Linked DNA regions of Lonchura striata. The protein of the gene in region 2 purifies or fractionates together with the protein of the main gene of each other region. This does not show direct contact. Links are inferred from orthologs where the notes say so. Each region holds a gene or a part of one and is shown on either strand. Other genes may lie near its edges.

Evidence for each region. Proteins that work in one complex are often made in the same cells at the same time.
Region 1: the proteins of IFT57 (region 2) and TRAF3IP1 purify together in Homo sapiens (affinity purification with mass spectrometry; 3 studies listed by BioGRID and IntAct, counting the BioPlex papers as one, with this or other methods). This does not show direct contact. The link is inferred for Lonchura striata from reciprocal best matches to the Homo sapiens genes IFT57 and TRAF3IP1.

Annotation. Positions count from the first base shown.
Region 1 is NC_134610.1:36,519,054-36,526,293, forward strand, and holds the start of TRAF3IP1 (TRAF3-interacting protein 1), read left to right. Parts: upstream 1-4,159; 5' UTR 4,160-4,245; coding exon 4,246-4,368; intron 4,369-4,895; coding exon 4,896-4,964; intron 4,965-6,221; coding exon 6,222-6,383; intron 6,384-7,240.
Region 2 is NC_134604.1:2,787,438-2,794,789, reverse strand, and holds the start of IFT57 (intraflagellar transport protein 57 homolog), read left to right. Parts: upstream 1-4,247; 5' UTR 4,248-4,297; coding exon 4,298-4,461; intron 4,462-5,722; coding exon 5,723-5,885; intron 5,886-7,352. Other genes in the region: HHLA2 (HERV-H LTR-associating protein 2), read right to left, coding at 1,020-1,083. UniProt on the Homo sapiens protein: Required for the formation of cilia. Plays an indirect role in sonic hedgehog signaling, cilia being required for all activity of the hedgehog pathway.

The sequences.
Region 1 (7,240 bases), on a different chromosome or scaffold from region 2:
GGAACAACAGGGATGTAATCTTAGATTTTGAAGTTTCTGGCTTCAGTTGTTGCCCATAAACTTAATTTAGCATTTTCTAGGGCATTTTTGTCGTCCCTGAATTTCATTAAGATGGAAAACGGTTGGAAGAAATTGACAGATCCAATGCTTGATCTTCAGTGAGTTTTACTGTACTCAGGAAAAAGGCATTTATTTTCAGGGCTCCTCTTCAGAGGAATTTCCCTCATTTCTCATCTTTCCAGCTGTTCTGATACTCTCTTATATTGGAGAACCTGTTTCTCTTGGTGTCCTGAGCTGATTTTGAGCAGCTCAGTGAGCTGGGCTCCAGGTCAAAGGCTCTGAAGTATTAACTCCAAAGTGAGCCTGATTATCCTGAATTAAATCTGTGATTATGACAGGACAAAACACAAGTTTGCTTTTGGGGGTTGCAGTAAGTATTTGACCTATTTTCTGTATGTAGTAGGAGCTGCCAGTTGAGCAGATTTCCCAAATTTTGGCTAATGTAAGATTTTTCATGTACCTTTTATAGGTTAACACTACTACATTTGAGACAGCATAAAGATAAAATCTGACACTTTGCTAGCAGCTAAAAAAAAAAAAAAAGAAGTGAAAAGCACCATAAAGCACACAATTATATTATTTTTTATTTCTCTGCATATCTTTAGAATTCAGCAGGTACTCCTGTGCTTTTTGGGGCTGATACTCTGCAGAAGGGGCTGTTAACGTCCTCACTCACTTGGATCCTGAAATCCCAGTTTCATGGATACATTTTCTGCCTGAGGGGAGGGCAGTGGATGTTTTCCCATCTTAATTTGTGTCACCTTCTTTCCATATCAGGTGTTCTTGGGAGCCTGGGTTTACAGCAGGGGTCAGAGGTGCCGATTCCAAAGGTTTGTGTTCCCACATGGTTACAGTCCATTGGATTTATTTGCTGTCACTTCAGTTCCTCCGGTTCCTGCTGGAGAGCTGGACTGAGCTCAGCCTTCCTCTCTTGAATAACTCTGGTCTCTCCCTGAGAACACCAAGTTTAGAGAAATCAAAATGAAAATTAGAAGAGGGAATTTTGTGCCTTTGTTCAAGTGTAATGTAGCAGCACCTGCACTGAACGAATCTTGGATTATTTCTAATGTTGGCTCAAAATGAATTTTTTTTTTCTTCTTTGAAACTCTTGTGGGCCACTCCACATTGGGAGTTAATGGAAAACAGGGCTGGGGAGAGAAAGCACCTTTTAAAAATGGAGTCTTTGGCTCTGTGGGTTCTGATGGTTATTTGCAAAGCCTTGAAGAGCTTTCATCTTTATTTTTCAAGTGTTCTTCACAAAATTAAATGTCATTTTTATCTGCCTAGTTGGGTTATCTGTGGATGTCTCACTGGTTGAGAATGGCACAAACTGGTTTCTGACATGAGTATTAATCAGCATTCATCTTCCAACGTTCCTGAACCAACATTCCCAGCTCTGGGGGAGGTTTCCCCTTTCCTTGTGGCTGTTGTCTTTTCCTGAGGCTCCTGGTTTGGTCCTGGCTCAGGGCTCTGAGTGCAGGAGCAGCTTTGTTTTCGTCCTATGTTTCCAATCCCTGTGGGGAAAGCACTGAGGTTGGCAGGGAATGTTCCTCCATCAGGACACAATGCCACTCTGATGCCCTAGACTTATGAAAAGCCTTGGAATTTTTTTTATCCCAGTTTTAATGAGTTGTTTGGAGTGGTTATTTTGAGCAACAGGTTTTGACTGAAATCAGCAATTGGCTTCTAGAGACTACTGAGCCAATTTCTGGGAAAAAAATTATATTTAGGGTGTTGGTGTTTTGTTTTTTTTTTTTGGGGGGGTGGTTTTGTTTGTTTGTTTGTTTGTTTTGTTTTGGTCATCTACCTCATCCCAGCTTGCTCAGACCTTTCTGGGATTCTGGACCTTGAGACTGGGGGTTTCCAGGTACAGAGTTGAGCTGAAAGATTGCTACATTTTTCTCAGCATCCTTTCCTTCCTGACAGGTGCAGAGTTCATGGCATTTCCAAGAGGTTTACTAGGGCCATTGGGAAGAAATCCTTCCCTGTGAGGGTGGTGAAGCCCTGATCGTGGGTTTTGGTTTCCAGTTAAATGGACCTGTGCTTCCTTGGGGTGCCTGTGTGGGAAAATGAGCTAATGAGGCCAAATGTAAATTCCCCCCTGAGATTCCTCTTCAGGCATCTCAGATGCTTCCTAGATAGTCAGTGAAAAAGCCCAGATAAACTACACAATCCCAAAATAAACATTCCCTCTTTCACAGAGCAGCTTCTTGCTTCCTCTGAGACTTCTTCCAATGCCCTGGGATGTGGAAGCTGTCAACACCTCCTGTTCTTCCCAGGATCACCAGATCCTGGAGTCAGAGCCTTTCTGGGAACCTCAGGGTTAGGGGGGAAGGTAAAATGCACTTCCCCCCTTGAGCACCTGCCAGGAGCCCAGGTGAAATTACCCTCTTGGTATAGAAGTGTCTACTGCCTTTTTGCTGGAAAAATTTCCTTGCCTGCACTAAGACCAGATGGATTTGCTTTGTAATACCTCCATTAATTCCCAAATCTGACTCTTTCTTTACAAAAGGCTGTGGGTTGGAATGGAGTGGGTGATCAAGTGCCACCCTCTTGCCATGGCAGGGACACCATCGACTATCCCAGGCTGCTCCCAGTCCTGTCCAGCCTGGCCTTGGACACTCCCAGGGATCCAGGAGCAGCCACAGCTGCTCTAAAAACAGTGCCAGCACCTCCCAGGAAACAATTCCTGCCCAATATCCCATCCATCCCTGCCCTCTGGCAGTGGGAAGCCATTCCCTGTGTCCTGTCCCTCCATGCCTTGTCCCCAGCTCCTCTCCAGCTCTCCTGGAGCCCCTTCAGGCCCTGGCAGAGGCTCTGAGCTCTCCCTGGATCCTTCTCCTCTCCAGGTGAGCACCCCCAGCTCTCCCAGCCTGGCTCCAGCCTTGCAGCATCTCCCTGCTCTCCTGGATTTGCAGTCCCTGTTTCTCTTGTGTTGGGTCCCACAGAGTCACCTCTTAAGTGATGAAGCAAAAACAAACAAACAGAAAAAAAACCCCAAAACAAAACAAGACAAAAAACAACAACAAAAAAACTTTTCCTGCTCCAATTCCTGCTGCTGACACACAGCATGTCTCCCTAACACGTTGTTCACTGCCTCTTGCTCTGAGGGGTAGGGGGGCATGGTTTTGAGGCTGTTTATGGGGGATTTGGGGCTGTTTCCAGGGGTTTTGGGGGGCTGTTTCCAGGGGGTTTGGTGCTCTTTTCGGGGGTTTTGGGGCTGTTTCCAGAGGTTTTTTGGCTGCTTCCAATGGTTAGGGGCTGTTTCTGCGTTTTTGGGGGCTGTTAATGGGGATTTTGGGTGCTGTTTCTGCAGTTTTGGGGGCTGTTTCCAGGGATTTTGAGGCTGTTAATGGGGGTTTTGGGTGCTGTTTCTGGGGATTTTGGGGCTGTTCATGGGGGTTTTGGGAGCTATTTTGGAGGGGTTTGTGGCTGTTTCTGGGGCTGTTTTCCGGGGATTTGGGGGCTGTTTATGGGGATTTTGGAGGCTGTTTTGGGGGGGGTTGTGGGCTGTTTCTGGGGATTTTGGGCCGTTTATTGGGGTTTTAGGGCTGTTTCTGGGGATTTGGAGTTTGTTTATGGGGGCTGTTTCCGGGGGTTTTGGGCACTGTTTATGGGGGCCTTTGGGGGCTACTTTTGGGGATTTTGGGGCTGTTTCCGGGGATTTTGGGGCTGTTTCCGGGGATTTTGGGGCTGTTTATGGGGGCTTTGGGAGCTATATTTGGGGATTTTGGGGCTGTTTCCGGGGATTTTGGGGCTGTTTATGGGGGCTTTGGGAGCTATTTTTGGGAGGCTTGGGGGCTGTTTCTGGGGCTGTTTCCGGGGATTTGGGGGCTGTTTGTGGGGGGTTTGGGGCTGTTTCCGTGGATTTGGGTGCTGTTTCCAGGGATTTTAGGGTGGTTTCCAGGGTTTTGGGGACTGTTGCTATGTTTTTTAAGGCTGTTTCCGGGTGTCTCGGGGCTGTTTCCCGGGTTTTCCTCGCTGAGGGCGGAGCGGGCCGGGCCGGTTGCTATGGCCGCGGCGCCCCTTAGCGACCGGCGGCTCGCGCGGGGCACGCCGGGAGCGGCGGGCCGGGGGCGGGCGCGCCCCGCCGCGGTGCCGGTTCGAGCCCCGCCGCGGTGCCGGTTCGAGCCCCGCCGCGGTGCCGGTTCGAGCCCCGGCGCGGCCCGGCCCGGCCCCGCCGCGATGAACGAGGCGGTGTCGCGGCAAACGCGGGAGACCCTGGGGCAGGTGATCCGCAAGCCGCCGCTCACCGACGCGCTGCTGAGCAAGCCGCCCTTCCGCTACCTGCACGACCTGATCTGCGAGGTGGGTGTGTGGAAGCCTGTGGGGCGTGCCCTCAGCGGTGTGTGAATCGCGGGGCTCTGGGCACTGCGTGAGTTTGGGGTGGAAAGGCGCGTGTGGCGGTCGGAAAGGGGGTCACGTCTGCAGAGGCAGGGTTAGGTGGGGTTTTGGGAAGGAATTCTGCCCTGTGAGGGTGGGCAGGCCCTGGCACAGGGTGCCCGGAGAAGCTGTGGCTGCCCCTGGAAGTGGCCCAGGTTGGACAGTGGGGCTTGGAGCAGCCTGGGGTAGTGAAATATCACAGAATCCCAGAATCCTTGAGGTTGGAAAAGCCACCCGAGATCTCTGAGCCCAGCCTGTGCCCGATGCCCCCCTTGTCACCAGCCCGGAGCACTGAGTGCCATGTCCAGGCCTTCCTTGGGTACCTCCAGGGATGGGGACTGCACTCCAGTGCCTCACCACCCTTCCCACGAAGAATACATTTCCTGCTGCCACACAAGATTTATTGAGCAGAGGCTTTAAATGTTCTTGACTTACCCCATTCTGTTTTTTAGGTGATCAGAGTGACAGGTTTTCTGAAAGGACTTTACACAGATTTCGAGTTGAAGTCTGATAATGTCAAGGTGGGCATGGGACTTCCTTATTTATTTAGTTTTCAGTGTTTTTTGCAACTCGCCAGAAGGTTCTTTTGGTCTTTTCTGTGTTCAGCACCAAGGAGCTGTTGTTATTTTTGTGAAGAAGTTGTAAATCCTGCCTGTGGGGTATAATATACTTTCCATGGGGTGAACACCTATAGTTCTGTGTCCAAATTTCTGGTTTTAAAGAGTCTTGTGGTCTCTCAAGAGAATCCATGGCCCTTAACTTACTGCTCTATATATCTTTGTTTATAAATATCCCCAGGACTCACCTATCTAGGATATGCAGTAGCTTTATTGCTGTGTAAAACTGGCTGATTACTGAAAGAGGAGTTTGATATTATTACTGAAAACTCCTTAAGTCCAAGGTTGACTTTACTCTCTGTCTGCTGCTTTCCTCTGATTTTTGGCTGAGCTGATGCTGAGTTCCCAGCTCCCATCCTGATTTGGGAGCTCTGGTTGCTGATTCCTGGCAAACAGAGCAGTGTTTGTGTGTTGCCACTTAGGCAGCTGATCCCATGGTGTTTGTTTAATGTAGCAACTGAAGTGTGAGCTCTGACTCCTCATCCCTCCAGCCAGCTCTTGCATGTTTTAGTCACTGATTAATGTGTGTGTTTATTTCTGTGACTGTTCCTACTGCCGTCAGGATAACTAAAATTAAGTAATTTATAACTGAATTGTTTGGTTTCTTGATAGTGTCCTTGTTGACCCAAAAAGCAGATTTCCCAGCTGCTCCTGAGCAGGTCTTTGTTGCATCTACGTGCTGCTATGTCTCTGAGAATTTGTTTCACAAATTTCTTTCACAGCCGATAAGTCCTTGGGGTTTTCCAGAGCTCAGGCAGAGGAAATCAAAATCCTGGAGCGTGGGGGAAAATGTCTCAGCCTTAAGTTCCTCTTCCCAAAACTGGTCAGGATGAAGACTCAGCTGCTTCCTTACTGTGATCTCTCTTGGAGTTGTAGAAGATCTGGAGAATAATTTTTTCTGAGTAATCAACAGGAGAGAGCTGTAAGGAGGACTGAAATCATGATGATTTCTTAATTGTGAGGACTTCTGTGAAATTTCACTTGGCTTTACTTTGTTTATTTGATCTTTTATTTTTACTTCTGATTTTATGTTATCACTGGAAGACATCATCTCTAGTGAAGGGCAGCTGGGGCAGGTTGTTATTAAAGGATATTTGTAAAACTAAAACAAACATGATTATTGTGGAGATAAAAATTTTCTCTTAATTGCTGTTTTACCAGGATAAGGATTCCAAAATCAACTTCCTTCAGAAGGCCATCGATGCTGTTGTGATGGTGACAGGAGAGCCACTGTCAGTGAAACCAGCACGAGTTGTGGCTGGACACGAGCCTGAGAAAACCAATGAATTCCTTCAGGCAATTGGGAGGTGTTGCTTAAATAAGGTAGGAGATGATACAGATTTTATGCACACAGGGAGCAGGGACAGGAGGAGAGGGAGCAGCCGCAGGCTGGGCCAGGGCAGGCTCAGGGTGGACATCAACAGGAATTTCCCCATGGAAAGGGTGCTCAGGCCTTGGCAGGGGCTGCCCAGGGTGGTGTGTAGTCCCCATCCCTGAAGGTGTCCAAGGAACACCTGGAGGTGGCACTCAGAACTCAGGGCTGGTGACAAGGTGGGCATCAGTCACAGCTTGGACTTGATGACCTTGGAGGTCTTGTCCAACCCAAATATTCTGTGTTTTAATTACCCCTCTGCTGTCACTAATTGCACAGTAGAAACATTTTGTCACCCCTTAATAACAATAACAGCAGATAGAGAGTTCTTGATCTTCAGCAAGAGCTTGAGCCAGCTTCCCACACAAATGCATTCTGAATATTAAGGATTTTATTGCTTACTGTTGTTCACTTTATTTGTTTGTCTTTTAACAACACTTATTAGATTTGAAGCACAAAATGAAACTTCTGAACCTTTAACATTTTGGGGTACAGATGCATTACTTAAATAACCAGTTCCTTTGGCTTTATCTCCTTTCAGTCAAATCTCTTAATCGTGGAATGCAAGTAATTTCTCCACTGTGCTTTTTTTTGATTATGGAAATACAATAATGGCAAAATTTGATAATTGGTTAAAAACAACTGCAGGAGCTGTTCTTATACAGAATTATTGCATTCTTTCACAGAAATATTATGTTTTTACACTGAATTGTTACATTCATAAAATAATAATTGTGACATGAATAATAATAATAGTTACATTCTTAAAATAATAATTGTGACATTAATTATTTAATGAAACAGCTTA
Region 2 (7,352 bases):
AATTTAATCCAATCTACAAGTATATTTCTGCACCTTTTTATCCCTGACAAAAAAACGCTCTTGGAGGCGTGCCAAAGTCTCTTTCATGACTTTTCTGTCACATGAGTCTCTTGAGACAGAAAGGGTGTCCCTCCAGTTTACAGGATTACAACACAGAGCTCTGCTCTTTGAACTTCTAATCAGTTTATGTAGAAATCCCAAATCAGCACCTACATATTCACATCAGCACCCTGCCAACTTACCACCTGAGCTTCAAATGTGTTTCCACATCTCAAACCCCATCTTTTCTACCTTAGACTTTAAAAGCCTTTTGAGCTGCATCTTTCTACGTGTTCAAACATTCACAGTGCCATGCTGCAATGCCCCATATGTTACCAATTACCCTCACACAGTGCCCAGCAGTTGTACCACCACAGAGAAAAAAGACATGGTGCTGCAATTGATGGGAAGGACAGAACTTCTTGAAACAGCTTTGCCACCACAGACAGCGTCAGGAAGTTCTGTCCCAGCCCCTTGAAATAATTAAGGTGTACATTCCACAAATTGACACAAGTGGAAGCATCTCATTTCTGTTAACATTTAACTTAGACCTTGCTGGCATACTAGAGCAATTTAATCTTTTAAAAAACTGACTGCAACCTGTTAGGCTGGTAGTGAGTGCCCAAGGGCAGTTGCCTTCTCAGACATTCTGATGCAGTCTCTGGCTCATCTGAACAATCCAAATGACTTTTCCTTAGTCTTCTCAATGCTAGGTCAGCCCATTTGCTGCAAATCATTTTCAGTCTGAACTGAAAAGCACTGCCTGCTGAGCCGTGGGGCAGAAACATTGGCAGGTCTGGGGGGCTCAATGGCCACAGCCATCCATGCAGCCACCTGATAAACAGTCTTTAGCTCCAGAAGTGTTTTACATTACCCAAAATTGATTCTTTACCATTAAAAACAGTGCTTGAATTCACTAACTCTCCTTAATAAAAATTAATAGTAATGGTTTTCCTTATTATTTTTCAGCTAAAACCTACCCCAAAGTGTAGCACTGACGTGAAATAAACAGATAATGACAGTTGGTATGTTCTGTCCTTTCATTTCTTCATTGGTTTGTAGATTCAGGTCAAACTGGCAAAATAAAAGCAGGGGAGAAAATCTCTTTAAATGCAGATAAAAGACATGTCCATATATAATTTCCTTTCTACAGCTTGCTAAGGACTATAGCCCTTTTTATCATGTTTTTGTTTGCAACAGACTTGGTCCAGATTTTTGACCTTAAAGCCATTCATTATGTGATCCTATGCATTACATAATAGTGAAGGCTCACTCGTTATCTTGCATCCCCTTGCAGATTGATGCTTTAATTTTAATAAATAGAAAGTGTTTACTCTCAGTGTTGTTACAGGGCTAGCTTCCTCATTCCTGAACAGGACACCAAGGAAAACCTGTCAAGAAGATTTTGCAAAAGGATGTAAGACGTCCCTTGTCAAACCTGCTTTTCTCTACTTTTTAAAGTATTTTTCTGATTACTGCAACATTTGACTTTCGGGGATGGGAAATTTGACTGCATTTGCAAATACCGCAGATATAGAGAACTTTTCACACTTTTTACACTTTCAAAAACATGTGCATGGAAGTCTAGGGTAGGAATGCAAAGGAGGAGACTCATCATATTTTCTGTTTTGCCAGACAGCAATGAACCAGAATCTCTCATGCATAACAGAAATAATAGTTACATTACTGTAACTATTACCTGGGTGGAGGAGGAACAAAATCAACAAAATATACTGTGCTTGATGTTTCCATTTCAGAAACTGCAATCAATGCTGTATTTCCCTTAGTGAGGGATCTGCCGTGTTTAATTGACATGTCACCTTCCACTGGCAGTGATGCTCTGAGAGTAGCATGGTTCCAGTGGTACCCCTGTGATGCCTTTGGGAGCTGCATGGACAGTGCACACTGCCTCCCATCTTCTAGCTGTGCCCCATAACCCTGCTTCAAAAATACACAGCTACAACTACTCAGCTGAAAATTTTCACATTCAGCACAAACCATGGCTTTGGATCTTTCCATTAGAGAAAAATGCATGCCAGTCTGTAGAAAAATCTGAGGAATGTAGGTTCTGGCCAGTCTTTTCAGCAAGTTCTGGGTCTTATAGGAATAAAGTGTGTGTACGCTGATAATTAGTCACACAGCAAAGTACTGAACAAACAAACATGCTTTTTCTGTTTGTCACAGACGTAACACAATCAAGAAGTCATGCCCTAATAAGGCTTTTAGTGAAATATCAATATGAAATTATGTATACAAACAGTGCACAAGTAGAATTAAGCTCACCGTAGTCATGTTAGTTACTGATGCTCTAGGTTTCAGGAGAATTATTTCATACAGAACCACCACAGACTAAACTGGAGAGCAGCTCAGCCAGGGTTCCTAAGAGCAAGGCAAGGTGCTAAAATGCATCTCCCAGGACATACTGAACAGCTAAAATAAAGGTAGGGGGAATGCTGCATTTGCTCCAGCCATTACAGGAAAAGAAGACTTTCTTCTGTATCCAAGTATTTCCCCATATTTGAGCTCTGCATTCAAGCTGGAACACGATCAGAGCACTCCTGCAGCAAACAGCCATCAGGACTGGTGGCTGCTCAGTGTACTTTGTGACCTCTTTGAGAGCAGACAGGCAAACTAAAATATCCTCCTTTCAAATAAAATTTATTTCTTGGTACAAAGGTTTCCGATTTATTCCTTTTCAATGCAACTTAACAACAACGCATTTCAAGTGTACACACACTTATGAGGACTGGGAAATATCAGAAGAATACTTTTGTTTTTCTTGTTTGCTTGTTGGTAAAAATTAACAAGTAAAATTCTCAAAAAGACATGTTAATCACATATTGCTAAAATCTCCTGCCACAATGATACCAGCTTTCTAGAATTTCCTCACTGAATCTTCAGAGGATTTCCCACAGTAAAAGAGAAGTCATTCTCTGCCTCCCCATAATGAAACCCTTACAACTTAAATGCTAACTTCATACTTCAGGTGTTGAGAAATAATCCGAATGGAAGAAAGTTTCCACAATCTCTCTCCCTGTTGATCTTGGCCTCTCTCCATCTGCATTCTGGCTGCCCCACACGTATGGCTCAGGGTTCAAGTAACTAACATACTTCATACTTTAAAAAACTTTTTCTCGGTTAACTTTTGCCTGGCAAACCTGAAGTTCCTGCAAGCTGTAACAGAGGAAATGAGTGAGCAGTAAGCGAGCTTACAGCAGTCTCGGGGAGGCAGCGACAGCAGCAATTCTCTTCGGGGCAGAGTGCAGGAACCTGGCCCAGGAGAAAGAGAACATAAGGTAAAAGTAATCATGACGCTCTTCTCAAAAAGCTCTTCTCAAATGAGAGGTAGGAGCCTAGGGCTTCCTGCAGGGATAGGTAATTCTTTTCTAAAAGTGCTTTTAACAGTGACCTCGTTCGCTCCCGACAAGTCAAAACCTGTGTGTCCTGTTTTTTTCCAGCAGAATAAAACGACTCAATTTTTTTCGGGAAGAGAGCTTACAAAAAAACTCCAAAAAAAATGCAGGAAGAAGTGGCAAGAAGGGGTGTGTGTCCCCTCAAGGACTTTGTCTGCAAAATGACTCTGTGAATTCAGGAGTTGTAAAAGACTTCAGATATCACCGAGTCCTACCTCTGACTGATGAACTCAACTAGATCACGGCACACGTCCAGTTTTAACACTCAGGAATGCTGATGTGCCTGGGCAGCTCATTGCAATGCTTGAAAACCCCTTTAATGGGAAATTCCACCCAATGTCCAATCTAAATCCTGTCGCAGCTTAAGTCTATGTCCTCTTGTCCTGTTACTTGCTAACTGGGAGAAAAGACCGACCCCCACCTGGCTAAAACTTCCTTCTTAGGAAGCTGTAAAGACTGCTCATGGGCACTGCACTTGGCCAACTGCGCTGCCCTTCTCTGGACACGCTCCAGCGCCTCGAAACCCATGCGGTAGTGAGTGAGGCGTCCAGAGATGGACACAGCGCTCGAGATGATGCTCCGCCAGCGCCAAGCGCATCCCGGGACACGCAGTTTTCCCGCTTTCCCCGCTGCCTTCCCCGCCCCAGGCGCTTCCAGCCGGCACCGCGGGTGAAGCTGCGGCTCTCGGCTGCCGGGACTCACCGCACCGCCGCTGCCCGGAGCGAGCCGTCCCGGCGCTGCTCTTCCAGGAGAGGGCAAAGTGTGAGGGCGGAGCGGCGGAGCGGCGGGGCGGGCCGGCGCCGCGCCGCCCTCACGCCGAGCCAGCCCGCCCTGTTGCCGTGGTTATGGCGCAGGAGAGCCGCGGCGAGCGGGCCGAGGAGCCGGCGGAGCGCGGCCCCGGCGCGGCTTTTCACATGTTCGTGCTCATGGAGGACCTGCTGGACAAGCTGAAACTGCTGAGCTACGAGGAGGAGGCGCTGCGGCGCCATAACATGCGGCCTCTGTGCAGGTGCGGCCCTGCTCGGCCTGAGGGCGCGGGCGGCGGGCGGCGGGCCGGGCCCGCTCCGGGCCCTCGCAGCTCAAGGAAGGGGCTCGTGTGGCAGGGTGCCTGCCTCAGGGGACAAGCAGCTGCAAAGCTGCCCGTGTGAGCTGGAACCGAAAGCTTGAGATGATAATAATAATAATAATAATAGTCCCTTGACCTTCCCTGCCCCCCAGGTACTGGGTGTCTGCGTGCCGCGGTACCCGTGCAAAAAGTAATTCTACCTATTCGGCAGAAAGTAGCTCTGCCTAAATTCCAAGTAGTTCAAAATAACTCTAAGTATCTTGAATTCAGGATAGCTATTCGTGGGATATGTGTATTTTTTAACCCTTTGCAAAGAGGGCCCGTTTTTGGTAAGGCTGGGGTTTCATATCCAGTATATATTTGTTTCATATGTAATGTTTTTTATGTCTTTCTTTTAAATGATGGTGGAGACATGAAGCCTGGGAAACAGGACCAATGTGCTCCAAATATCCACCTGCCCAAATAACCCATTTGTCGCTCTTAGCCAGGCTCCATTGCAGGGCTGTCACAGAATTAAGCTTCTTACAAGGAGCATTTTGTTAAAGGGGTCCAAGTTACTCCCTTTTTGGGAAGGAGGCTCAAGTATGAGCACTGTGGCTGTAAATCAGTTCTAGCCTGCTCTTGAGCCAGTGGAATGTTTGGAGCAGGACAGCAGACCATTGTGTACCTTAGTGAGTGGCTGTGTTGGTAAAGAGAAGCATTTCCAGAAGTTCCCTGTGTCCAGCATGCATGTAATTTATACTTTGTGGGGTGGTCTGGTTTTATGGATTGATTTCTTGTTAGGACCACATATTTGAATTTGGCGTGATCCAAGTCAGATCCAGTTTTCATTGCTTTCCAAAGCAACCCAAAGCACAGTAGGTAAGGACAGGCGGAATGATCACTTCAAAACAAGCTCCTCGTCTGAGCTGAATTTTTAAATGTAGGAATACCATCTTCCTGCATTTCTTGAGGAAAGTGTGAAAGATGTGGTTTGGGGAACTTGGCAGCCAGGTCTGGTGTTGACTAATAACTTAGTCATAGGTGGAAATAAGCAAGCTGTAGTGTAGAAAGATGTAGAAAACTTGGTCTGCTGCATCCTGAATTTAGTTCATTGCTCATTGAGGAAACCGGGTAAAGAAACTGCTCTGTAGCCTGTGCTTACCTATAGTGTTGTAAGCTGCAGAAACTCACAAGATGTACCACTTGTCCCCCTTGTAAGCAGGCACTACTTTGCGCTGCCCACCAACCCCGGCGAGCAGTTCTTCATGTTCTGCACGCTGGCCGCGTGGCTGATCAGCAAAGCGGGGCGTCCCTTCGAGCAGCCGCAGGAGTACGACGACCCCAACGCCGTCATCTCAAATGTGCTCTCGGAGCTGCGCTCCTTTGTGAGTGTCACACGGGCTCCCTTCCCAGGTGCCTGCATTCCCTTCAGAAATAACAGCAGTCACACGCTCTTCTCCTGCTGGGTCTGGTCCCAAGGACTGGACAGATTTTCCTGGCTGTAAGTTTGTACTGTGTTACTTAGTAAATTGGAACTTTACATAGGCTGTACTGAAACGTGGATGAAAAATTAAAACCTTATAATTTTAATAAAGATTTGTAGGGAACGGTATGTTGATAGTGGACGTACACTGGGATTTATCACACAGCAGGGATTTCTTTTTAAAGGGTATGTGTACTTTTGAGAACTCTTGATTTTTTTTTTATTACTTTTATTAATTTTCATATGCATAGAATTTTACAATAGCTCTATGCATATTTATTCTGTTGATTTTGTGTTATATTTTTAGTTAGTTGTACTTAGTTTTTGCCAGAAAGTATAGAAAGAACTCCTGGGTTACATTGCTTTGCTTCAAAGTCTGAGGAGTCTTTTTTATCTCTTATTTTTTTAGTGTGGAAATTTGTATTTTTTTTTTTTTTCATTAGCTAGGATAACTTTGCTAGTGTTGTAGTTACTAGACTAAATAGCGTATTTCACTTATGTTAGCAAGTTTAAAGCGGCACATTTCACTTAAATCTAAATAGGCTTCTACTTTGTGAAATTTTCACTCTGTCTCATTACCTACTTGCTATTATTTTTAACATTACAAAAATGGTCTTATAAATGATTCCAGTTAGTTTTGTTCTGCAGTCTGTAAAATGGATTAAACCAGGCTTACCTTCTGTAGTGCCGCATATGTTGCTAATTTATAGTAGCATAATTTTCAGAGATTTTATCTGGAAGGGTTACACAGCTTGTGATATCCTGCTCTGGCCAAAGTGAATGACTTAATTTGTAGTGTCTTTGTAGTGTAGGAAGTGGTTTAGAATAGTGTTTGTGTCTTTTGTTTTGTTTTGTTTTGTTGAAGAGTAAAAGGAATACAAACTGCCAGAAACTACTGAGATTTTTTTTTAATGAAAAAAGCCAAACTCCAAAGGTCAGGAGACTATGTCAACTGACAAAAGTATGCTCTTATGGGAGATAATACTCTTTTGCAGTGTGAATTATGTTAAGGACACTCTGAAGGAGTTAAACTATATCAAACTACTATGTTTATTCTGCATAACAGCAATAAATTAAAATATTTTATAAGTAAAATCTGGAGCAAGCAGGACACTGTTGAAAAGTTGGTAGTTAGGTCTCAATACTTGAGTTTTTCTGTAGCTGTTCTTGCCTTGTCACTCGTGTGCTTGACTATCCAGATCTCTTGTGGCTTCTGCCTCTTCTGCTACCTGGGAGTATGCTCTTACCATGTGTTTAAAGATTTCTACACTGCATCTGTTCCTTGGCTTCATCTGCTTTTCCTTCCTTTGCCTCACTGGAGCTGCACAGGAGAAGAATGTAAATTGTCATTAATAAAATCTCATACACA